Linked DNA regions of Rhinolophus ferrumequinum. The protein of the gene in region 1 interacts with the protein of each later gene in a biochemical or structural test. Links are inferred from orthologs where the notes say so. Each region holds a gene or a part of one and is shown in the gene's direction. Other genes may lie near its edges.

Evidence for each region.
Region 2: the proteins of GIPC1 (region 1) and LRP2 form a complex in vitro, tested with the Homo sapiens proteins (2 studies listed by BioGRID). The link is inferred for Rhinolophus ferrumequinum from reciprocal best matches to the Homo sapiens genes GIPC1 and LRP2.
Region 3: the proteins of GIPC1 (region 1) and RGS19 form a complex in vitro, tested with the Homo sapiens proteins (2 studies listed by BioGRID). The link is inferred for Rhinolophus ferrumequinum from reciprocal best matches to the Homo sapiens genes GIPC1 and RGS19.

What each region holds. Positions count from the first base shown.
Region 1 is NC_046301.1:47,651,975-47,659,952, forward strand, and holds the start of GIPC1 (PDZ domain-containing protein GIPC1), read left to right. Parts: upstream 1-4,977; 5' UTR 4,978-5,176; intron 5,177-7,356; 5' UTR 7,357-7,411; intron 7,412-7,978. UniProt on the Homo sapiens protein: May be involved in G protein-linked signaling.
Region 2 is NC_046291.1:54,554,037-54,561,913, forward strand, and holds the start of LRP2 (low-density lipoprotein receptor-related protein 2), read left to right. Parts: upstream 1-4,814; 5' UTR 4,815-5,931; coding exon 5,932-6,010; intron 6,011-7,877. UniProt on the Homo sapiens protein: Multiligand endocytic receptor. Acts together with CUBN to mediate endocytosis of high-density lipoproteins. Mediates receptor-mediated uptake of polybasic drugs such as aprotinin, aminoglycosides and polymyxin B.
Region 3 is NC_046306.1:128,469-135,402, forward strand, and holds the start of RGS19 (regulator of G-protein signaling 19), read left to right. Parts: upstream 1-3,889; 5' UTR 3,890-4,164; coding exon 4,165-4,352; intron 4,353-4,613; exon of another isoform or gene 4,614-4,632; intron 4,633-4,655; coding exon 4,656-4,667; intron 4,668-4,805; coding exon 4,806-4,849; exon of another isoform or gene 4,850-4,919; intron 4,920-5,476; exon of another isoform or gene 5,477-5,559; coding exon 5,560-5,571; intron 5,572-5,627; exon of another isoform or gene 5,628-6,109; intron 6,110-6,210; coding exon 6,211-6,326; intron 6,327-6,496; coding exon 6,497-6,615; intron 6,616-6,934. UniProt on the Homo sapiens protein: Inhibits signal transduction by increasing the GTPase activity of G protein alpha subunits thereby driving them into their inactive GDP-bound form. Binds to G-alpha subfamily 1 members, with the order G(i)a3 > G(i)a1 > G(o)a >> G(z)a/G(i)a2.

The sequences.
Region 1 (7,978 bases):
CTGAAGCCTCACATTCATCAGTTGCTGTGCCACTTTGAGCCAGTGGCTCCCCCTCTCTGAGCCTCAGTCTCCTCCTCTATATAATGGGGACCATATCCAGTGGGATTACTCCTGAAAAGCAGCTAGCACAGGGCCTGGCACACAGTCAGAGCTTAATAAAAGTTTCTATTTCTATCATGTTTCTATTATGACATACAGTGTTTATTCATCCTGTGCTCTCAGTGCAGTTGAATGATAGCAGCTGGTGTTCACTGAGTACTTCCTATCTGCCAGGCATTTGACACAGAATAGCTCATTTCATCCTAATATAATGGTAACAACTTTAGAATTACTATATCCATTTATTATGATGATGATCCCCATTTTAAAGATGAGGAGACTGTGGCACAAGGGAGATGGGGTTCACCCAGGGGCACACAGCTGGCAAGCAGTGCACATTATGAAGAACTATAACTGTACGCTACCCCACAACCCAAAGTGGACTAGAGATGGAATAAAGACACAGGGAAAGTAAAACCATTGAATGACTAGGAGGAAATGTAAAAGAATATCTTTGTGATTGAGGAATAGAAAGGCCCTCCTTAATGAAATTTCATGGGCACAAACCACAAAATGGATAACTTCTATTACACTGAAATTAGGAATTTCCTTCCAATGAAGAATATCACAAACAAAGTGAATCATCACATGACAGAAGGGGAGACTATATTTGCAAAGTGAAACACTGTAGCTACCTCACAGGGTCATTAGGGGAGTTACATGTTTTAATAAATATAAAATTCTTAGAACAGTGTTTGGCATATAGGAAGCTCTATCTAAACATTATCTATCATTGTTGAAACTGACAGGGCTCAATATCCCAGCTTTATTCAGTAGAACTATGCAAGAGCATATATAATTTTAAGTTTCCCGGTAGAGATATTAAAATAGTAAAAAGAAACAGATAAAATTAATTTGAATAATACATTTTCTTTAGCCCAAAACATCCACATTATTATTATGATGACGTGTAATCAGTATAAAAACGAGTTAATGAGATGTGATATTTTACATCTTCTTGTCTTTCTACTTAGTCTTAGAAATCTGGTGTGTATTTCACACCAACAGTATATCTCAATTTGTATTAGCCACATTTCAAGTCCTCAATAACTACATGAGAGCGGAGCATTCACGTTAGACAAATCCAATTGGACAGTCCAGATCTAAACTCTGAGGAACTCATGCAAATAGACAAGAAAAGATAGTAAGCTCAAGTGCAAAATGGGCAAAAGCTATGAACAGGCAATTTACAGAGGAGGCGATCCAGAAGGCCATCAAGCAAACGAGGACATGTGCAAAATGATTAGCAATCAGAGAAATGTAATACAAGCAATGGTGATGTCACTTGACAGTGAGTCAGATTGACAAAAATTAGAAAGCTGGAAAATGCCAACAGCTGGCAGAAATGTGGGGATATGGGACCCTTCCACACTGCCAGTGGGTGAGATGGGGGCAGCTAGTCTGCGGGGAGGGGGGGCACTCAATAGCAATTGAGTGACTCAGCATCTCTGCATCCAGGACTCTCTCCTAGAGAGAATCTTACCAGGTCCCTAAAGGGCAGGTCCATGGCTGCCCACTGTGGTGTGGAGATCTGGAGGCTGCCTGGAGACCAACCTTGGGAAACAAAAGAGTAAGATACGAGGGATGCATCTCATGGAGCATCAAGCATAAGTTAGAAGAAAATAGTCAAAGGGAGGCCGGATGGCTCAGTTGTTTAGAGCGCGAGCTCTGAACAACAGGGTTGCTGGTTCAATTCCCACATGGCCCAGTGCAGTGAGCTGTGCCCTCCACAACTAGATTGAAGGACAACGACTGGGAGCTGATGGACCCTGGAGAAACACACTATTCCCCAATAGTCCCCAATTTAAAAAGAAAAGAAAGAAAAGAAAAGAAAAGAAAAGAAAAGAAAAAAGAAATTAGCAATACCAGATGGATCTTCAAGGTACAGTGCAAAACAAGCAATACTGTGCTGAGTGTAAAAAAAAAGTAAGAAGCCCAATACAATAGAATGCCCACATAAAACAGTGCACATTTTCAAGGAAAGACACAAACACAAAGGTGCACATTTTTAAACCCACTGGAGGGTCACTTCTGGGGATGGGAGGGAAATGGGAGTATTTTCCCCCAATGTTTATTTTGAAATTTTAAAAGCTATAGAAAATTTAACAAGAATAATATAATGAATACCATATACATGTACCACTCTCCTGGATTCAGTGGCAATTGTTACTATTTTACCACATTTGCTTTCTCTATGTATTAATACTAATGTATACCATATTTTATTGTATATGAAATATTTTATACATATATAATTTTTTTCTGAACCATTTGACAGTTGCAGCCATCACAAATTTACCACTAAATAATTCAGCCTGTAACACCTAATAAGACGATTCTCTTATGTAACCACAATACAATGCTCACCCTCAGGAAATTTAACATGGATACAATGTTATTATTTAATATCCAGTCAACATTGAAATATCCCCAATTATCCCAAGAATATCCTTCATAGCTGGGTTTTTTTTTGTTTTTTGTTTGTTTGTTTTGTTTTGACATTTTTATCAAGGATCCAATCAAGGATCACACAACGATTTTGGTTGTCATCTCTCTTTTGTCTCCTTCAACCTAGAACTTCTCACCAGACTTTTATTCATTCATTTAATTAAGGGATTGATTTTGCCTTTTATGACATAGATCTGTTTGAAGAGTCCAGGTCAGTGCCCTTCCTTCCTTCCTTCCTTCCTTCCTTCCTTCCTTCCTTCCTTCCTTCCAAATGTCCCTCAGTCAGGATATGCCTGGTTGTCTCTTCATGATTAGATTCCAATTAACCACTTTGGGCAGGACTAAGTACTTTGCAGGTGATGTTGTGTCCGTCTCAGTACCACACAGCAGGGGGCACGTGACATCAGCCGGTCCCATCACTAGTGGTTAATTTTGATCACTTGGTGAAGGTGGCGACTTCCAGGTTTTCCCACTGGTACCTCTTCCCCATTATAATTAAAAAGTAATCCTGTGGGCTGGTCCTTTGAGACCAAATATTAACTTCCTCATTGATGAGCCTTGCCTGAATTATTTATTCCTCTACTGGCTGCATAATTCCTCTACTGCTGTGATTTTCTAATTCAACCTTTCTTTCTGCATGTATTAGTTGGCATTCCAGAACTTGCTTTTTCCAGAAGGGCAGAGGCAATACTCAAATCTGAGCTCCTCACCAGCTGGGTCTCCCAGCCTGTTTTCAGGCATGCCTCTTGAGCTCTAAAATAGGGTAGGAGGAGGTGCCTGACACTGCTCTGTGCCCTTGGGTAACCCCCTCACCCTTTCCTGGGCACGTCCTCATCAGTCAACAGGTGGATTCAGGCTCAGGACTGAGCTGTCCCCGCAGCCCTCCATCTAGCCTTCTCCAGGTGTATAGGGGGCAACTCAGATGCGGGGTCCAACCAGGGCGGTGGGTACAGTCCCACAGAGGGCACTGGCCCAGCTGAGGCAACTGATGACTCAGTGAGGGTGGCAGAGGTCAGCAGAACAGGAAGTCAAGGACAATAGCTGAACCTGTTGCCGTGGTGATCTCTGTGTTTGCCAGCTGGGTGGGGCCAGCCACGCAGCCCGCATTAGCTAAGCCCAGGGCCGGTACTCCGCTTTCACTTTGCTCCTCTTCTGGACCTGGTGGGGCTGGGATTCACAGCAGCTCACCTGGGGACTGCAAAGGCGCAGTCATTCAATGAGGCTTGAGAAGGGTCGCAGCAGTTAGAGGCCTCCAAGATCTACAGTTCCCAGAACACAAGTGAAGTCCTGGTCTAGCCCCAGCTGCCTGAGTGGTCAGCTTTGAACTAGCACAAGGAAATATCATCTATCCTGGGAACGGAGAGTCTTGGCCTGTGTCTTGTTTCTTGAACCTGCTCCTGCCTGAGAAATCATGGTTACAAGCCAAACCTAGAGATCGTGAGATTACCTGGTCGTTTCATCCACACACATGTGCTCTGTGGGGAGGGGGGGAGGGAGCGGAGAGGGAAAGGAGAGGGGCGGGCTGCAATCAGATGGAGGAGACAGACTCTTGAAAGTTCAGCTCCCTGAGGGCAGAGGCTTGGGTTGCGTGGGTACCCACTGTAATCTAGCACTGAGTATGAGCTCAATAAATATTTGCTGGTCTAACGAACAAGGGAACAAGGGAACAGGGCCTCTCGCCCTCGTCTTCCGTTTCACTGCCCCCTTTCACACTGCTTGGCTAGCGCCTACGATATTGCATTATCCTAAAATGTGCTGTATATCTCCGTCTGGCCTCCAGACCTTTGCAGGCACTGTTCCCTCTACCAGGAACACATTCAGTTTACTAGCCGGTGTGTCTGTAGAGATAAGTCAGAGACTGGCACCGAGCAGGGGCACATTAAATATTTGATGAGTGAATGAATGAATGAATGAATGCCCTTGTCCATTGTACACCCCAGGAAGCAGGGACACTCGGGACCCTCCCTATTCATCTCAGTCCCCCTCCCGCCAGCCTGGAATGAATGCATCTTTTTATCCGCTCTGAGAATTGCCAGGCTTCGGCAGGGACAGGCGGGGCGGAGGACTGGATTGTGGGGCTGCCCTCGGCCCCTTCTCAAGTCTCCTAAAGGGTCTGCTTTTCCTGACGTTGGGAGTTTGCATCCTCTCCCCGAAACTCAGCCTTGTCACCTGACTCCCACGGTCAGCCCCTCGTCCCCCACCACCCTGTATCCCGGGTACCGACTCTCAACCAATAGCACGTGGTTCAGAGTCTGCAGCTTCCCATTGGTCGCTGGTCTCCTTTCTTCCCCGCGATTGGCCGAGGCCCAGCCGCAGCTTCCCCCCTACCCGCAGCCCTGCGATGGTACAGCCCGCCGCGGCTTAGGCGGAGCGGGAAGGTCCACTGCGCTGCGCCGCGGGGTGTCGGGAAGAGTCGGGAGAGGCGGAGGGATCCCTCTGGAATGTTTCCGTCTGCTCCACCCGGAACGGGGATGAGAGGCAAGGATTGGCCGCGAGCTGCAGGAGGCCGTTCCTGATTGGCTGGGAGCGGGCGCCGACCCCGCCCCCCGGCCCCGGCTGCGGGAGAGGCCCGGACCAGAGTTTGCGGAGGGCCGAGCTGGGCGCGCGCAGGGCGGCGGCGGCGGCGCAGGTGAGTTTCACGCGCGGGCGAGACGCGGCTGGAGGTCTAGGCTGGGCGAGGGTATGTCGGAGGCCTCCTCCCAGCTGGGCGCCTCCCTTCCTGCTGGGGGTAGGGGGCCAACGCCTCCACCGCCAGGATGGGGTCTCCAGCCGCACCCCTGACTCCTGCACCCCTTTGGACAGCCCCCACTCTGGCGGGCACAGACGCGGGGTCTGTATTTCTGAGCCCTATCTGGGGCACCTCCCCGGAGCTGGCCTCACCTCAGTCTTCCAGGGTTTAGGGAGGCTTGGGAAGGACCGAGGTCCCGATAATAACAATGAAAAAAATCGTCCTCACTAACATTGATTGAACACTTTTGTGTCAGGTAATTACTATGAGGATCGTTGAATTTAAACACCTCATAGGAGCTGTTACTTCTTTTAAGAGTGAAGCAGCAGACCCAGAGAGGTAGAGTGACTTGCCCAAGGTCACACCAGCTAATAAGTGGCAGATCTGGGACTCAGTCCCATTCCTCAGAGTGAAGAACTGGAGTCTCAACCACTAGACTACATGTCCAGTGGCTCCATGGCTCAGATGTTCCTGCACAGCTCCTCAGCCTACTGCACTTTGTGCTACCCTCTCCCTCCCCACCCCTCCACACACACACCATACATACCATGTGGGCCACACCTGCTGGTCTTTGCTTCTCTCCCCGTGCTCTTTCCCCCGCCAGAGGTCACCAGACACCAGCAGCTCAAGCAATAAACTGCGCCCGTATTCCTTCTCCCTTGAGCTGGAAGGCAAGGCTGGTGTACCTGGGTCCTGAGAAGAGAGTGATGTCTTCAGGGGACATAGGCAGGGAGCCTGGATGCTGGGGTCCTGTGCCTGCCAGGCCCCCCTAGGAAGCCTGGGCCCAGGCTGGGGAGTAGGCGTTCTCTCCGGAAACACCCAGGAGCCGGTTTTTCAAGACTGAATCAGAGGCCGCCCGCCCTTCTCTCCAAAGCATTCCCCTGTTGGAAAGGGGAGCCTGGGTGTGGTGCCCCCCCTCCCTGAGAGATTGTGTGAGCTCCCAGGAACCCTCTGCCCCTCTTCCTGCTTCCCCGCCACTGCCATTCTGTGTGGCTGTGGAGTTGCCCTTCCCAAGGAAGTTTCAGGCCCTTCCCAAGGAAGAGAGGGTAGGGAGGCTGGAACTCCAACTAACCTGCTTGGTGCCCAGGCCAAAACTCTTTTTCTCCGGTCCCCACAGGTGAGGAGAGCCTGGGAATGTGGGGAGAGGGTGGCAGTTAGCAACTCCACGGCAGGCATGTTCTGAGGATTGGGGGATTCAGAGAACAGTCAGAATGAGGATATAAGATATGTTCATTCATTCTACAAATATATTTTGAGCACCTACTTTGTGCCAGGCACTGGCACAAGATTTAATAGTGAACAAGTCAAAACTAAGGATTTTGAGGGGGGAGCTGCCATTCTAGTGGGGGAAACAAGCAACAAACAAGCTAACAAGTAAATTAAAAAGATACCTCCAGATGGTGGTAAGTGCTATGAATAATATATGAGGGGGTGACATGATAGAAACTCTGGGCAAGGTGGGCTCTCAGAGGAAGTGACTTTGGAGCCGAAGCCTAAATGACAAGAAGCAGCCAGCCCTGCCTGCAAAGATCAGGCAGAGGGCACAGCCAGGGCAAAGGCTCTGAGGCTGGACCAAGCTTGGAATAGGGTAGCTGGGGCAGGAGATGCAGCTGAAGCAGCAATTCTGCAGGAGTCGGGGGTCACATTAAGGAGTTTGGAGCTTTTACCCCGTCAGGTGGGAAACTTGTAAGATTTGAGGCAGGGGAATGATGCGATCTGGTTTACGTTTTAAAATAGGACACGAAGTTAATAACAGCCTGAGACTGGAAGACAAGAGTTGTGCCAGGGCAACATGTAATTAAGTTCATGGGCCTGAGCCGTCTGGACCACAGGGGCAGTTCCAACAGGCTAAGGCAAGCCAGGGAGGCTTCCTAGAGGAAGTAACATGGAGTAGGCCCTGGCAGGCAAAGAGGACTGGGATGTTCCTGGGCAGGGCAGGGAGGGAGGCAATATAATGACTAATAATACAAACAGTTTCCTTAAATTGCTAAGGAAATAAAATGCTGAGCAGGTTGCATGCATAATCTCTTTGAATCCCCATAAGCACTCTCTGACAGACAGGAATTCTACCTATTTTTCAGATGAGGAAACTGAGGCTTCGTCAAATGAAGTGACTTGCCTACAGCCACTCAGCTGGTAAGTGGCAGGGGTGGGTTTTGAACCCAAGCCATTTTGCCTTTTCTGGCCTGGAAGGCAAATTCATTAATTACCCACTTTCCTCACCATCGTTATTCCTGTCCCCCCCAGGTGAGGACTAGGCAGCCAGCCTGAACCAGGGCAGCAAGTGTGGGCAGAGGAAATAAGGAGGTTGGGAATTGGTGATCGGGATGTGGGGGCCCTGCGTAAAAAGAGGAAGTTAGTATCTTCTGTGTTTATAGATGGAAATAGTAATAATCACCGACATTTATGGAATCCTCATATCGTGTGCCAGGAACTGTTCCATGCATATGTATGATTTCCTTAGAACTCGAAGAGCTTAAGACACTTGCTCAAGGCCACACAGCTATTAAGCGGTGAAGCCAGATTCCAGACTCATGTTCTCAGCATTCTGCCTCCCAATGTATGATGAGGGAGGGGACCCAAGGGAGGTGATAATGAGGATTTTTTTTTTTTTTTTTTTTTTAGTATCATTGAGCGTAATGAGATAACCGGAGGAGGCAGTACTCATTTATTCATTTAGAATTTATTTTTTGTCTAATAGTC
Region 2 (7,877 bases), on another chromosome or scaffold:
CACTGAACAACATGTCCTTGCAGACCTACGTCTTTCGATACGCAGCCAAGGTTTACCAAAGAAAAGGCTCTTTGAATAAAGCTCTTCAGCTCTTAAAAATGGCCTTGCAGGCAACACCCTCCTCTGCCTTCCTGCATCACCAGATACGGCTTTGCTTTAGAACACAAGTTTTTCAAATAAAGAAAGCTACAAATTGGCAATCTAAAGGACAGGATAGAGAAAAATGACAGAATGACAAGATTAGCCATATCTCATTTTGAATTTGCTCTGGAAAAAAAGCCCACATTTGACCTTGCTTACATAAGCCTGGCAGATATGTACATAGAAACAGGCAATTGCAGAAAATGTGAAGACGCTTATCAAAAAGTGTTATGCATGAAATCTCTTGAAGAAAAATTGTAAGAGCTATATTTCTACTATGGCCAATTTTAGGAATTTCAAAGGAAATAGGAAGTTGATGCAATTATCCATTATTTAAAAGCAGTAAAAATAGAAAAGGCATCACTTTTAAAGGATAAAAGTATAATTTCTTTAGAGAAATTGGCTTTAAAGAAACTTTGAAGAAATACTTTTTATATAGAAAGCTTGAACATCTTTGGGTTCGTATACAAATTGGATAAAGTCCTGCAGCATTATGAGTGGGCCCTGAGGCTGGCTGCTGACTGAGTGCTCGGTGGGACATGTTCCTTAGGCCCTGAAATATGGACCACTGTCATATTTCATTTGTTTTTAGGTTAACAGGTACTAACCATCTTTTCTGCTTGCTGCTTTCAGAAACATATTATGTAATAATGTAATTTTGAACAATTACTCAAATCTGATAAAACATTAGTGAAATAAAAAAATGTATCTGTAGGTGTGAGAAAGAGGGAAAGAGAGAGAAACCATTTCTCTGTGAATGCTATAGAGTAGAAATAACTGTTTGTTAAGTAGACTTGTAACAAATAAAACATTACAATTACATTAAAAGAAAAAAAAAAAGAAGACGTTCTTTCTAAGTCAGTATGGGGAGTTTACAGAAAGCTTCCTGGAAGAAGAGGAGATATTTTAGATGAGACTGGAAAATTAACCAGAGGAAGGGGAGGAATGGGAAGGAAAGAGTGTTCTAGACAGAGGGAATAATAGGAGCAAAGAAAGGAACAATCCATTGTGGAACTTACGAGTTAATGCAAAATTTCTCAAACTTAAAAAAAAAAATCATTTTATTTTAATTTAATTTCAAGCTCACGGAAAAGTTGCAAGAATAGTGCAAAAAACTCCCACATACTCTTGCCCATTTCCTTTCTCTCTTCCTAAAACACACACACACACACACACACACACACACACTTTTTTTTCTGAATTATTTGAGAGTAAGTTGCAAAATCATGAACCCCTAAGTACTTCACGGTATATTTCCTAAAACAAGGACATTCTCTTTTATAACCAGTATCAGACAATTTTAACGTGTATGATACTATTATCCAATCAGTCCATGTTGAAATGCCACTGACTTTCTCAATAATACCTTTAGAATTACTTATTCCCCAGTCCAAGTCCAACCCAATACCATGTGTTGCATTTAATTGTCTTATCTGTGAAAAGTTTCTGAGCCTTCCTTTGTCTTTCATGACCTGGTCATTTTTAGATGAATACAGGTTGGTTATTTAAAGAATGATCCTCAGTTTATGTTTGTCTAATGCATTCTCATGATTAGATTCAGGTTATACATTTTTGTCAGTAATACCATGGGGTATATGTTGTGTTTACCACATTCCTGAAATCTTGATGCCCTAACACCTGCCCTGCATGCTTATGCTGGACACACCTTGTTTTGGGCAAGCTGACAGTATGCCTTGTCACCTTGCCTTGACCTCCTGCCTCCCCTGTTGTCTCCCTTGGGAGTGCTTTTCAAATACTAACTAGCCAGTCCTAACCCTGCTTACCCTGCCTACCTGCTCCTTCCCTTGGAAACCACAGTAGAGGTGCTTGCCCATAGTTCCCCCCACCCCTACTGTCCCTCTCAGAGTGAAGACTTTGGTGGTTCCCTGGGTGGCCCCCAAAGGTATGATCTATATTCCCTCTCCTAGGATCTGTGAGTATAAGAAACTATCTTTTCATTGGCAGTCCTCTCCTGATCTGTTGACCTTACCATACCTAAATAATAATAAAACCTATTAAAACATGTCAGTTTTAAAACATGTCAGTTTCTCCACTTAAAATTACTGTTTACTTTTTTAAAATAAGTAATTTGTGGAGAGATACTTCAAAATATTTTCGACTGAGATGTATAATAAGAAACATATTTTACATGGTGCTACACTGTATATATATCTGAAAAAAGAGTTTAGTAAAACAATACATAGCCTTTCTATATGAAGGTTATTTTAGTTCCTATTCTGTTTTATTTCGTTTGAAAATTATTCTGTCTGACCTACTAAATTGATTTCAGAACCCTCTAATGGGTAATGACTTTAGTGTGAAAGCACTCATCTGTTGGAAATAGCACTTTGTATTGTCTGCTTGCAAAATGGAAAATAGATGGCTAGATGGGCCGGGGCAACATGGGCAAGCAGGCCTTTATAAGGCTCTTGCCATAATTCAGATGAGAGGTTTGTGGCTACTGGCGGTGAGGTTGAGAGAAGTGGGTGGGTTGGAGAAAGAGAAGTAGATCGAGGAACTTGAGTTAACAGAATTTCATGATTGATTGCATGTGGGGGTGGGGAAAAGAGGGCGGAGTCAAGAATGACTGGTTAAAGCCTTGGCCTCTGGGGCAGATGATGGTGCCTCTTACTGAGATAAGGAACACTGAAGGTTTTGAATTCAGGCTCCATCATGTTGAATTTGTGGTTTTAGGAACATTGGATTGGAGCCGTTCAGTGGGCAGTTGGCTCTCTGGCGCTCAGGAGGTCAATCTGGGTTGAATTAATAGCAACCTGAAGTTGGATTTTACTCAAGGAGATTTTACAACTTCTTGCCCTTTGCAAAAATCAGAAATTGGTTCAGGACAGGGAAAAAAAATGCTCACAATATTTCCAGTAATTTGGTGTTGAGACGCATCAGTAAAATAATACAGACAAGTCAAAAGTATACCAAGGAAGTTAATTGACATGAATTTACTAGGATAAATTTCATTTTTCTCACTTTCATCACCTCTTTTGGTTAACCACTCTGTAAAGTCTCATGTAAATATATGTATACAGCAATGTAGAAAAGAAAGATACTACACTTTTGCATGATATAGAAACAATGCTGACTTGAATCACAAATGCAATAACCTGGGCTTTCCCAGAGCCTGGTGCTTAGATTTAACCCTCCAAATCTAGCACTCTCCGGTCTAGATGCCGGAGATAAACACGTACATAGTGCGGGCTGCAAAAGCTGCACGAGTTTGGGTTGCATTGAGAAAGTTATGTTTTTTTTTTTTTTTTTTTTTTTTTTTTAGCGGAAGAGGGTATGAACGTGAGTTTACATACACAGTGTTGGAAATGATGGACCGTGCTGTTAGTCGTCCCTTATCCCCAATCTTTATCTGCTCTCCTCCCTCCCGTTCTCCCTCCATTTCCCCCCACCCCCCCTTCTCCGGCGTTATTCTGGGATTACCGGCGGGGTCGGCCTGTACACAAACGCAGCTGGCTCCTACGATCAGCCTGAGCCCTGCTGTGCAACCACGTCAGGAATTCCAGTAAGTTGGCAACACAGGAGCACAAAGACAACAATGAGGAAGAAAACCCTTTAGTGCAGAAAGGAATGTTTGGAGCCTCGGCTGCTCTAGTGAAAGGACACACACGCGTGCGCACACATACACTCACTTTCACCCTCTCGCGCCCACGCGTGTACTAGGAGCGACCCTCCTCCCGCGCATGCAGTCCCCCAGCCTGCCCGCGGGCCCCGGCGCGCGCCTCCCCAGCGCCCTCGGCTGTTCTTTGCAACGCGCGGGTGCGGGGACGCTCATTGACTACGCAGCGGCCCCGGCGGGCGTCGGATTGGCCTGACCTCCGCGCGGTCTCGTACCATCGCCCCGGCCGCCCGGAACCGGCATAAATCAGCCAAGACTAAAGCTCAGCTTCTTGCCCCCTCGCAGCTTCCCTCCTCCCACCGGGCTCATCCTCCTCATTTGCCGGCTCCCACCAACCCCTCAGGTCCCCAATCCTGCCTCATCCCCCGCGCGGCAGTAAGGCAAATAGCGTTCCGGTGACTGGCCAGAGCAGAGAACTCTGGATTTCCACATTCAGAAATCTCGAAAAGAAACCCACGAAATCTCTCCCGCCCTTTCTCACACCCTACTCCTTAAGGCTTAGTTTTCTCTTTCTGCGTCTATTTCTCCCTCTCTTTTTGTCTCAAAAGTAATACCTGTCACCCCCCACCCCCACTTCCGCAAAGTTTCATAAACCTCTAAGACCCACGGAGGGTACGCGATCCCGACTGCTGAGGATCAGCAGAGCCCCAGACGATCCGTGCTCTGGAGAGGAGGGGGTGGCATTAACTGGCAGGTTCTCGCCCCTGGGGAGGGCGAGGCGGAGGGACCCTGCGCCGGGGCTTCGCGGAAAGGGCTGCCGCCTGCATGGTTACCGCCTCTGGAAGACAGGGCTCCTGAGTCTGGACCCGGACTCGGAGCCTGGGGCCCCAATGCAAAGTTCGTCCTGGAACAGGGGCAGGAGATTTTGGGGGCGACCTCAGGTCTGGAAGCATCCCTTCCTCACACAGGGCTCCCAGGGCCAGGGAGTAGGTTGTGCACCAACCCCCCCTTTCTTTCTGTCAGCTCTGGTGTCACGGACCGGCTGAGGACGACGCTCTGGCGGGGAGTGTAAGGGTCACTTGCAGTGCTCTTGGGGGCTGGTCCCGGGTCAGCCAGACTTACCGCTGCACCAAAGAAGGGAGCGGCGGAGTTCTCTGAACCCCTTAACGTTTCTTCCTCGTTTAAAGGGGCACCCGCACGATCGAGAAGACGTTCATTCTTTGCAATTTTACTTCGAAATGAACAGAATTGTAAGAAGTGCGATCTGGCCGTGACACCTGCAGATATGGTGCTTAAGAAAAGCTAAACAAGGATCCAACCTCCTCCCCAACATGGAGTCAACCCCCTCCACAACGTAAAACCACAGGGCACTCCATCTCCGCGCCTCAACTCTCGGGGTGTCGGGGGGAGCCTAGGGATTGCAGACTGGAGAATGATCACAAATCTCTCCAGCAGGCTCTTAACTCCTTCCCTTTCCTCCTTCCTTCGCTTCCTTCTCTTATTTTTCTCCCTTTTAAAAGACTGTGTCGGTGGCACATTTCCCCGTGGACTGCCTACCCGACTTCTGTGCGGAGGCAAATCCTGCGGAGAGGCTAGGGCAGCTGCGTGTGTGCATCAGTGTACGTGTTCGCATGTGAGTGTGTGACTGTGAGGCGTGTGAGCGCGTCTGAATGAAGAGTATGTAGCTGTGAAGTCTGCGTGCACGTGTGTCAGTTTTTGAGTGTGGAGTGCGCGCACACGTGTGTGTGACAGAGGAGTGTATGTACGCGCGTGTGTGAACTGCGTGTGTCCGTTTGCGTGACAGTGAGAAGTGTGTGCGATTGTGTGAAGCTATGTATGAGTGAGTACGTGTGGAGTGTGCACGTGTGAGCGCGCGTTCGAGTCCCCACTCCTCTCAGCGGCAAAATGCAGGGGGCGGGCCGGGCGGCAGGGGGCCTTCCCCGCTGGATTCCCGCATGCTAGTTCCGGGGCGGTCGGGTCTAAAGGGCTTTATGCACTGTCTGGAGGGTGGGGACTGGCGCGGGTAGAAAAACGGGACGCCTCGGGCGGGCCAGCTTCCTGCTAGTAGGAGCCCGCCGAGGCGCGGGGCTAACTGAGCGCTCGCGAGCTGACGCGCTGCTGCTGCTGCTGCTCCTGCTGCTGCTGCTGTGTGCGGCGCGCGCCCACCTCCCAGGGAAGGAACGGCGAGGCCGGAGCCCTCGGCCGTCGGCGGGATGGAGCGCAGGGTGGTGGCAGTGGCGTGCACGCTGCTGCTGGCTTTCGCTGCCTGCCTGGCGCCGGCCAGTGGCCAAGGTAAGCTCCTTCCCGGCTGAGCTCCGCGCGGAGCGCGGGACTTCACCAGCGGTGACAGGGTCGAGTCCGCAGGCGGGCCGAGCAGAGCGAGGCCGGGCCTGGGCCAGGGCGGGCGGCGGCGCCGGAGCGGCTCCCCCGGGGGCGCTCAGGTTGCCCAGTGAGAGGCAAGCAGGAGCGCCCCTCCTTTGCCCGCCCGGGAACTGAGCAGCCGCAAACTTGAGAAAGCAGCCCCGCCGGTTTTGGTGACAGCGCACCCCACGGGGACCCCGTCTTTGTTACCACGCGAGTTTGTACCGACCCTTCTGGAAAGCACTTTGCGGTTGGAACCCTGAGAATGAAGGTCTCCCCTATGAGTGCGCAGCCTGTGCTCCCCCCTGCCCCTGTTTATGCTCTCCAGGGTTGAGCGGTCCTCCGCGCTGCTCCTTGCTCAGTTTTCCACCTGCAGCGCCCCGCGGGGGAGATCCCTTTGCTCGCCCAGGCTGCGGGCTAAAGCACCCCCGCCTCTTTCCACCAGCGAAACTTGGTCCCGCGGTGACCCCCAAGAGACCGCATCTTGATACAGATCACTTGCGAGCCAAGATAAGGCTGGGAAGTGGGATTGGCTGAGAGAGCGGCTGATATACTCTAGCATTTTCTTGAAAGGTTTTCCTTTCCATCCGGGTGGTGGGGGCTTTTGTGTTGATGAATGGGGCGCGTCTGCGCGGCCAGAGTTTTGAGCGCTCGAATGGAGAAAGTTTCTGGTATGAAACACTTCGAACTTCTCTCAGGTTGTTGGAGAGTTTACGTTTTTACAGAAACAGAGGCAGAGAAAGAGGGAGGAAGAAGTGGAGAGAATAAAAACTGTAAGGGGGAAGAGGACAGAATACAGCAAGTAGAGAGGGTAAGGAAGAAAAGGAGGGGAGAGAGAGCTTGAGGACCGAGAGCGCAGCGGGGAGGGAGGGAGAGGGAGAAGGAGAGCGAGGGAGGGAACGGGAGGGGGAGAGAGAGTGAGAGGAGCAGGGGGGGGAGGAGGAGGAGGAGGAAGAGGAAGGAGAGAAGGAGGGAGAGAGAGAGGGAGAGGGAGAGGGAGAGGGAGAGGGAGAAGGAGAGAGAGAAAGAGAGAAAGAGAAAGAGAGAGAAAGAAAGGAAGAAACACTAGGGATGAATGGGAAGTGTGAAGAGGAGGAGGCAGGGGAACCCGCGAGGTCTCTCCCCGGCTTTGCGTTGCTAGGTAGCAGCCGGGAGCCGCGTGTGACCCACCACCAGACAGACAGAGAACGCTACTGCCTCCACGGGGACTAATCTGTCTGTGGGGATGGGAGAGTACTACCCTCCCTCCTGTTCCTTACGTCGGACAACTTAATTGCCCTACAATAAAACGAAACCCCTATTGTTGTAGGATTAGTCAAAGCAATACATTGATTTTCCTGGATCACATATTGGGGTTGACGGGTGAGGACTGTAGAAACCCCCATTTATGGCGGAGAGAGGGGAGGGCTTGTGCATGGGCCGCGGCATGTATTCAAATGGTTAATCTGCTTTCTTTCCTCAATTCTTAGCGTAAGCTCCTTAGAGGGAATCAACTAAGTAATTATACAGCAACTCCTAGCAGTACCCATTTCAGACTTCCTGGGAAGAAGTTTGGAAACGCCAACAAATCCCACTGGTCTTGTAAAAATCTTTGGAAAGGGAGGAGAAGCAGGGGGAGCTGTTAATAATTCTTACTTTGAACACCTTTTCTCAGTGTTGGTTACACAGAAAGAGGATTTATTATTATTGTGGAGGGTTTGCCTCAGCGTTTAGGGTTATATATATCTCATGTCCTAAATATAGGGATAGGATTTACTATATGTTCCTGTTATTGCCTGGCAAAAGGAAATCTTATCCG
Region 3 (6,934 bases), on another chromosome or scaffold:
TGACATTATGGGCAAAGGAAGTAGCTGCACACAAAGCTGCCTTTGGATGGGGCAGCTGGATGGCTCAGTTGGTTAGAGCTCCAGGTCTCAACAAACAACAAGGTTGCCGGTTCAATTCCCTCATGGGATGGTGGGCTGTGCCCCCCTGCAACCTTGAAAACGGGTGACCGGACTTGGAGCTGAGCTGCACCCTCCACAACTAGATTGAAGGACAATGACTTGGAGCTGATGGGCCCTGGAAAAACACACTGTTCCCCAATATTCCCCAATTTAAAAAAAATACCTGGAGCGTCAGCTGTGCTGGGAGACTGGAGAAGGGGCAAGTTCTCCTCAGGGGAACCCTGCTGCCCCAGACAGAAAATCACCCTGTGTTTTTCCTTTTCATCCTGAATGGCCTCGTCTGTCCCCTCTGCCTCTCTTACCTCCTCACCACGTACATACCCAAGACCAGAAGGAAGCCGCCCCTGCCCCATTCTGACAAGCCTGTCTGTCCTGCTAACCCTATGGATTCCTTAAGAACCTCCATGATTCTGGACAGACCTTCAAGAACACTGTTCTCCCACACAGGCTGTTTGCAGAGCCCGGGATTTCTCTCAGCCACCTCTCCAGCGGGGGCTCAGGGACGCAGACCAGCCCCACCCCTGCCAGGGGCCTCCTGCTGAGTGGGCAGCAGCAGAGCTGACCCTGGAGGGGCGCAGAGGTCAGAGCTTGGGGTCTGGCCAGGAATCCTGCTCAGTGGCGGTCACTGCCCCTCCCTGACCCGGCTCAGGATGAAGACCTGGGCCCTCCGTGCCCTCAGCAAGCCCTTCTCCCCATCTGTTGCTGCCTTTGGCGTCGATGGACACCCAGAACTATGTGCGGAGTGGGAGGGAGTGGGGAGCTGCATGTAGTGGCAGGTGGGAAGGGGAGTGGGTGTGTTGGGAGGGGGAGGGAGAAGGAGGGGGGCAGAGAAGGTGGCTTGGGTGAGGGACAGAGACAGAAAAGGGGAAGCAACCACTGCCCAGGAGTGGTGGCCACTGGCACCCAGACAGGCATGGAGGACAGCCAGCCCTGGCCCCTGGCCCGGCTCCCCGCCATCTGGACCCAGCACCCTGTCTCTGGGGGACGCCTAGAGACTGAGTGCCTAGGATGACTTCATCATTTTAGTAGAAGCACATTTTATTTCTCCACTTCTCTAAGCCTCTGTTTCTTCATCTCTAAAACGGAGTCTCAAGGGTCTCGCTGTTGCCATGTGCCCCACAGCGATTGCTCCTAAGGCAGGGTCACTGCATTAGGCAGGCACCTGAGGACAGAGGGACAGGGCAGACGCACAAAGCCCTGAGGAGAGGGCTAGCAAGAAGACGGCCTCACAGACAGCTGTGCATATGGGCGCCCTTTGATCCCACCAGGGACAGGCCCTAGGTCCGCAGACCAGCCTCAGAAAGTGTCTGAGGAAAGTGGTGGGGCCTGGAGGTGGCTTCTGCTCTGCGAGAACAAAGCCTGCACCACGTCCCATGGGCCGTGAGGGATCAGATGGGATGCCGGGCTGAGGCTTGTGCTCTGGGCAGGGGGCCCTGGGGTCAGTCGCATCTCCACATCTCCTGCTGTATGGCCTTCAGGGGCTCCTCCCCAGTCCACCTGGGATCCTCCATGGGCTGCGGGGACACTGCAGAGACAGACTCCCCAGGGGAGGTACGGGAGACCCAGAGGGTGTGGGGGACTGGCCAGAGGAGGGAGGGAAGTGTGCTGACCCCCACCCATGACCAGTTGCCCTACACATGTCTTAGGCGGTGGGTGGAGATGCCACACACACTGTGGGATCCGCCTGGCTGTGTGACCTTGGCCAGGTGCTGGCCCATCTCTGTGCTGTTACCTCTCAGGACTGTCATCTGGGGTAAATGAGAAGCAGTCGTCTCCTGTCTGGACAGGCTTCCAGCCTGGGCCCTGTCCTGGGAGCCTGCCAACATGGCAGCCAGGGCCCCTGAGCACACAGCATCAAGAGGCACCCCAGCCTCCAGGGCCCTCTGGCCTCTCTGACCTTCCCCGCTCTCAGCTTGGCCTGAGCCCCTGCCATGCAGCCTCCTCTACCCTCCCTGGCCCTCTTCACCTCTCACCCATTCTGCGGGCTGGGTCTCATCTGCTCTAGGGCTGGTCTGTCTAGCTCACTGCAAGGTCCCGCTCAGGGGACAGCCAGAAACTTGCTGAATGATGAGGAGTGCGTGGAAAATCTCCACTTCCCTTCACATCTCGACAACTTGTGCGGTTGGGAGGCCCTCTGTGAGCCGGACCGGCTCCAGGAGCTCACCAGGCCGAGTGCCTGCACTAGGGACAGGAGCTACATATGGTCTGAGTCCAGGGGACCATTTCCAGAGCAGGGTCAAAGCCACTATGACACTGGCCGTAAGCATGCTGGGATAAGAAATTGAACTAACAGCTGTACCAGGTCATAAAGTACCAGGAGAATCAGCCAAAGAGAAGAGACAGGACATTCGAGGGAAGGGGACAGTGTGGCTTTAAACTGCATGACACCTTGGAGCAACTGAAGGGGTCAGAAGGGAGCCGGCCAGCAGCCACAGATAGAGAGAGACATGTGGTGACTCCAGGGGCAAAAATCCATACCCCCAGCATCCAGGTTCACCTCAGCACAGGACCCCGGTCCCCTCCGTGGGAAGCCCCCTACAGTGTGGTAACAGTGCGGTGATAACAGGCTCTTAACCTCATTTTACAGGTGAGGGCACCCAGTCTGGGAAAGGCTAGGGTGGGGCCTAGAGTAACCACGACACAGTCCTTTCCAGCGGGGCAAGTAGCGTATGGGGACACTTGCGTCTCTAGGACTCTCGTGCCACACATCTGGCAGGAAGCTCATGGCCGACTCACATGAATGGCACAGCTGGAATGGCCCGGCCGAGTCGGGGGCACGGCCACACCCCCACCTACTACAGTTCCAGCTCAGGCCGCCTGGAGGCCAGAGACCCCAATATTAGCACCTCATCTCCATGGGCCACCCTAAGCGACGACGGGGACCAAGGCGCTGGGCCGGACTCTATGGGGTGGTGGGGAGGGGGCGCGTGGGGCGCAGAAACAGCCAAACGCGGGGCGGGGCGCGCCGGGCGGGGCGGGCCGGGCGCCTCCCCGCGCGAGGAAGTCCCAGCCCGGCGCTTTGGGGAAGTGCGGCCGAGGCGCCTGCGCACTGCACCCTGCGCCCCCTCCCCGACGATCCGGCCGGACTTCGGAGCGCGCGGGCTCGGCGGCGGCGGCGGCGCGAGCGGCTCGAGAGCGCGGCCGGTGAGTGCACGCGCGCGGCGCGGAGGACGGCGGCCCTGCCCCTGCGGGCCCGGGGCCCCGGGGCCGTGTGGGGCGGGAGCCTCGGGAGCCGACTCCGGGATCTGCACCCCAAGGACTCCCGCCGAGGGGTCCACGTGGACCCTGGGCCGCGGCGGGACTGGAGCCCGTCCCCACCGCGCGCGCGGGGGGAGTCGGCGCTGCAACCGGGTTCCCCTTTTCTGCAGCTCAAAGCTTGGGGAAGTGATTGCTCAAAGGGGGGGCCGGAAGAACCCAGGTTTCCGCGTCTCCCGCCCCCCTCAGCCTGGTGGGGAGGGACCGAGGCGGGACACCCTGTCCGCCCCCGCCCCGTTGGATCTGGCAGCCTCTGAGCCCTGCGAGTCGCAGGGGAGGCGCTGCGCCCCCGGCCCCAGCCGATCGGGGCCCCCGGCGCCGACCTCCCTCCAGAGCGCCGCAGGAGAGTCCCCTGCCGTCTGACTCGAATCCCTGCTGCTGCAGTGCACGCCCCTTCGGCAGTCAGGGTGGGGGTGCAGACCGAACGTGGCCCCTCCCGCCCCCACCTCGCCTTTGGGTCGCTGGTGAGTGGGGCGCCATGGCGAGTTCCTTGAGGTAGGGGTGGGGGCGTCAGAGGCTGGAAGGGACCCCTGCAGAAGGCGACAGGTTCCTCCAGGCCAGACCCTACCAGCGGAGAGAGAGCGCGAGAGAAGTGAGTCGCCCCCACCATTGCAAAGGTGGGCTGGGGGCGAGGGTCACCAGGGTTAGGAAAACTGACCGGCCTTGTAAAGCCACGCTGGGGCTCCCCCACCAGCCAAACTGGGGGCTGGGGAGCAGCAGCTAGGAAAGGTACTGAGTAGGATCAGAAGCAGGGACTAGAGCCCCTCTGTCAACCCCCTCCCAAAGGTTATGGCATTTTTTTCTGGGATTGTCACATTTTTTTATTCTTTTTTTGGACTGGGCGGGTTCGGGGACGTTCTTTTTCCTTCTGTGGAGCAAAGCAGCAGCCGCTCCCGAGGGAGCCTCTGTCCCCAGAGGCCAGACTTGCTGCTTGGCCAGCCTCTCCTGTCCCAGACTGGGGGGTCAAAGCTTGGGGGGGGCTGGGGGAAGGGAAGGAGCCCCTCCCGAATGCAAGAATGAGGGGCAAGAAACCTAGACAGACCCTATTCTTCCCGCAGGAGAGAGCAGGTGCCCTGGGGGCACTGGTGGCCCCAGCCAGCTTGAGAAGGGTGCAGGGAGTCAGGTCCAGGGCCTGCAACCCAGACAGAATGGGCTGGTACCCGCTCTGCCCCAAACTTGGCCCCTAGCACCTGGGCCATGCACTCTCAGGCAGGTCCCCTCCTCCAGTTCATAGCTGAGCTGGAGATGGCAGCAGAGGTGGGTATAGTCTTCAGGTGCTAGGTTGGAGGTGGGTGGGACTGGGGCCCTGCCCCCACTCACAGTGGGTGCGGGTGCAGAGGAGGAAGAGCATTTCTGCCTGGGGAAGTCACAGCCGGTCTGGGGTACAGCTACCAAACCTCAGAGGTTGCCACACCCCTTCCTTTCCCTAGAAACTTGACCCCTGAGGGAAAGGCTGTGGGGCTGCTGCTTCCCCATCTGCTTGCTGGGAGCCCTAGGACCACGTTTGAGGAGGCCCCCAGGATTTGAGGGAAGCCGGGCAGGTGGTGAGGCACGGTGGCCCCAGGGGACCCTGCACTCAGCCCCCAGGTTTGGGTCAAAGAAGGGGCCTCTGTGTGCCCAAGCCCTGGAGGCAGGGGTGCCCTAAGTGCATGAGTCGCTGCTGTCACCTCAGCACCGCTCCCACACGGAGCCCTGCTCCAGAAGCTGCCTGCCCTCCTGACCACCGAGACCCCAAGAGACCAAGATGGGCCAAACAGGGATTAAAAGGCACGAGCTGAGGAATGAGAAAATAAAGTGAAACCAAGTCGTGAGCCTCCTGGCCGCGGAAGGTCCTCGTGGAAGAGTGCAGGGGGGCTTCCCCAGGTCGTGTGGGTCCTCACCTGGGCCTAGGTGGGCGCAGGCAGGGGCAGGGTGGGGAGGCGTTCAAAACTGCCTCCAGGCCGCTGATTGGCTACTGTCGCCCGCGGACTCTGGGATCTGCGGTCTGTCTCTCGGGGGGCACTCGGGGGCTGCTCACCGGCTCGCGCCTTCAGCGCCCCCTCGCGCCTCCAGCGTAGAAAGTGCGGTGCAGAGGCTGAGCAGGACGCGCCCCTCGCCTCCCCCAGGGACCCCGCAGCTCCGACCCGGGAGCAAGACGACCCCGCCCACTGCCGCCCCCGCTTCCCCGACAGGCTGGCGTGGCACCCCCGCCCTGTGGTGAGGCCGCAGCGGTTTCCGCAGCCTGGTGGGGGGAGGGGGGAGGGAGACCGGGGGCATTAGTTGACAGCTGGGGGAAGGGGGCACCAAGCATAGCGTCTAGGACCGAGGTCCCCTGGAAGCGCACGGCCCTCCCCACCCGTGTTCTGCCCTACTTCCTGCACCCTCAGGAAGTCCTGCCCCTTGTCCCACTCAGACCCTCTATGCCTCAGGCCTAATCTGGGTCCCCCAGGCAGGTCTGGACTCCTGGTGGGAAGCAACCCTACCCACCTCCCCACACAACCACAGGATGGAGGGGCCTGGGGTGGCATTCTGAATGTCTGACTACCACCCCTATGCACCAACCTGATAGCCCCAGCCTTGGGGCCCCAAGCCCCCTTGGGAGGGGCCAGGAGCCGGAAACCAAGAAAGAGGAACCCAGGCTTCCGGCTTCCCAGGGACTGAGCAGAGGGGGTTATCCCGGAACCTCCTTTGGAGGTCTTGTCGGGCTCCTCTCCCCACTGACCCTGCACCTCTCGCAGCCCTGGTGGAAGCTGGGGTGAGCGCAGGAAGCAGGCCCTGTGGGGCAGGGGTGAGGAGGGCAAGACTCAGGACCCCTCCCAGGGGGCATGCAGAGGCTGGGGTCTCAGGTTCTCTGAGAACCTCGGCTTCTCTTCTCAGAACCCCAGGCTGTGGGGAGGGTCCCGGAGCCAGCACCACGGAGCCTGGGTGTCCTGCACCCACCCATGCCCACCACGCATGAGGTTGAGAAACAGGTGCAGCGCCCCACACCCCTGCCTCTGTCCCCGGGGGCTTGGGGAAGGAGGAGGCCCTCGGACACCTAGGGGGCTGGAAGGGTCCTGCCCTTGGGAGCATGGCCACCAGCGGGCGGGGGTGGGCCCGCAGCTTTCGCAGGGTGGCTGAGATGGCCCCCATCTACCTGCAGCACACAGGGCCAGAGGAGGCAGATCAGCCCCCCTCGATGTCCAGTCATGATGCGGCCCCGCCAGCTGCCTCCAGCCGCAACCCCTGCTGCCTTTGCTGGTGTTGCTGTTGTAGCTGCTGGTACGTGGGGACTGGGGCACGGTTTGCCTGGGTGGGCATCGTGGGTGGAGCAGACCTGGGCCCAGGAGCCCGTTCCCTGGACCCTCGGGCGGCTTCTGAGGTGTTGCCTACAGGCAGGGTGCCCCGCCACCCGCAGCACTCGCCAGGGGCTGTTGGGCTGTGCTGACCAGTGGCCCGCAGCCCAGGCCTCTGTGTGTGCGGGGCCCCTCCTCCCTTTGCTCAACGCATGCTTACTGATGAGCCTGCGGGTCCCCACTGGCTCTGAGAACCCTACAGCACAACAAGACAAAAGCAGACCTTCCAAACTATGTCAGGTGGA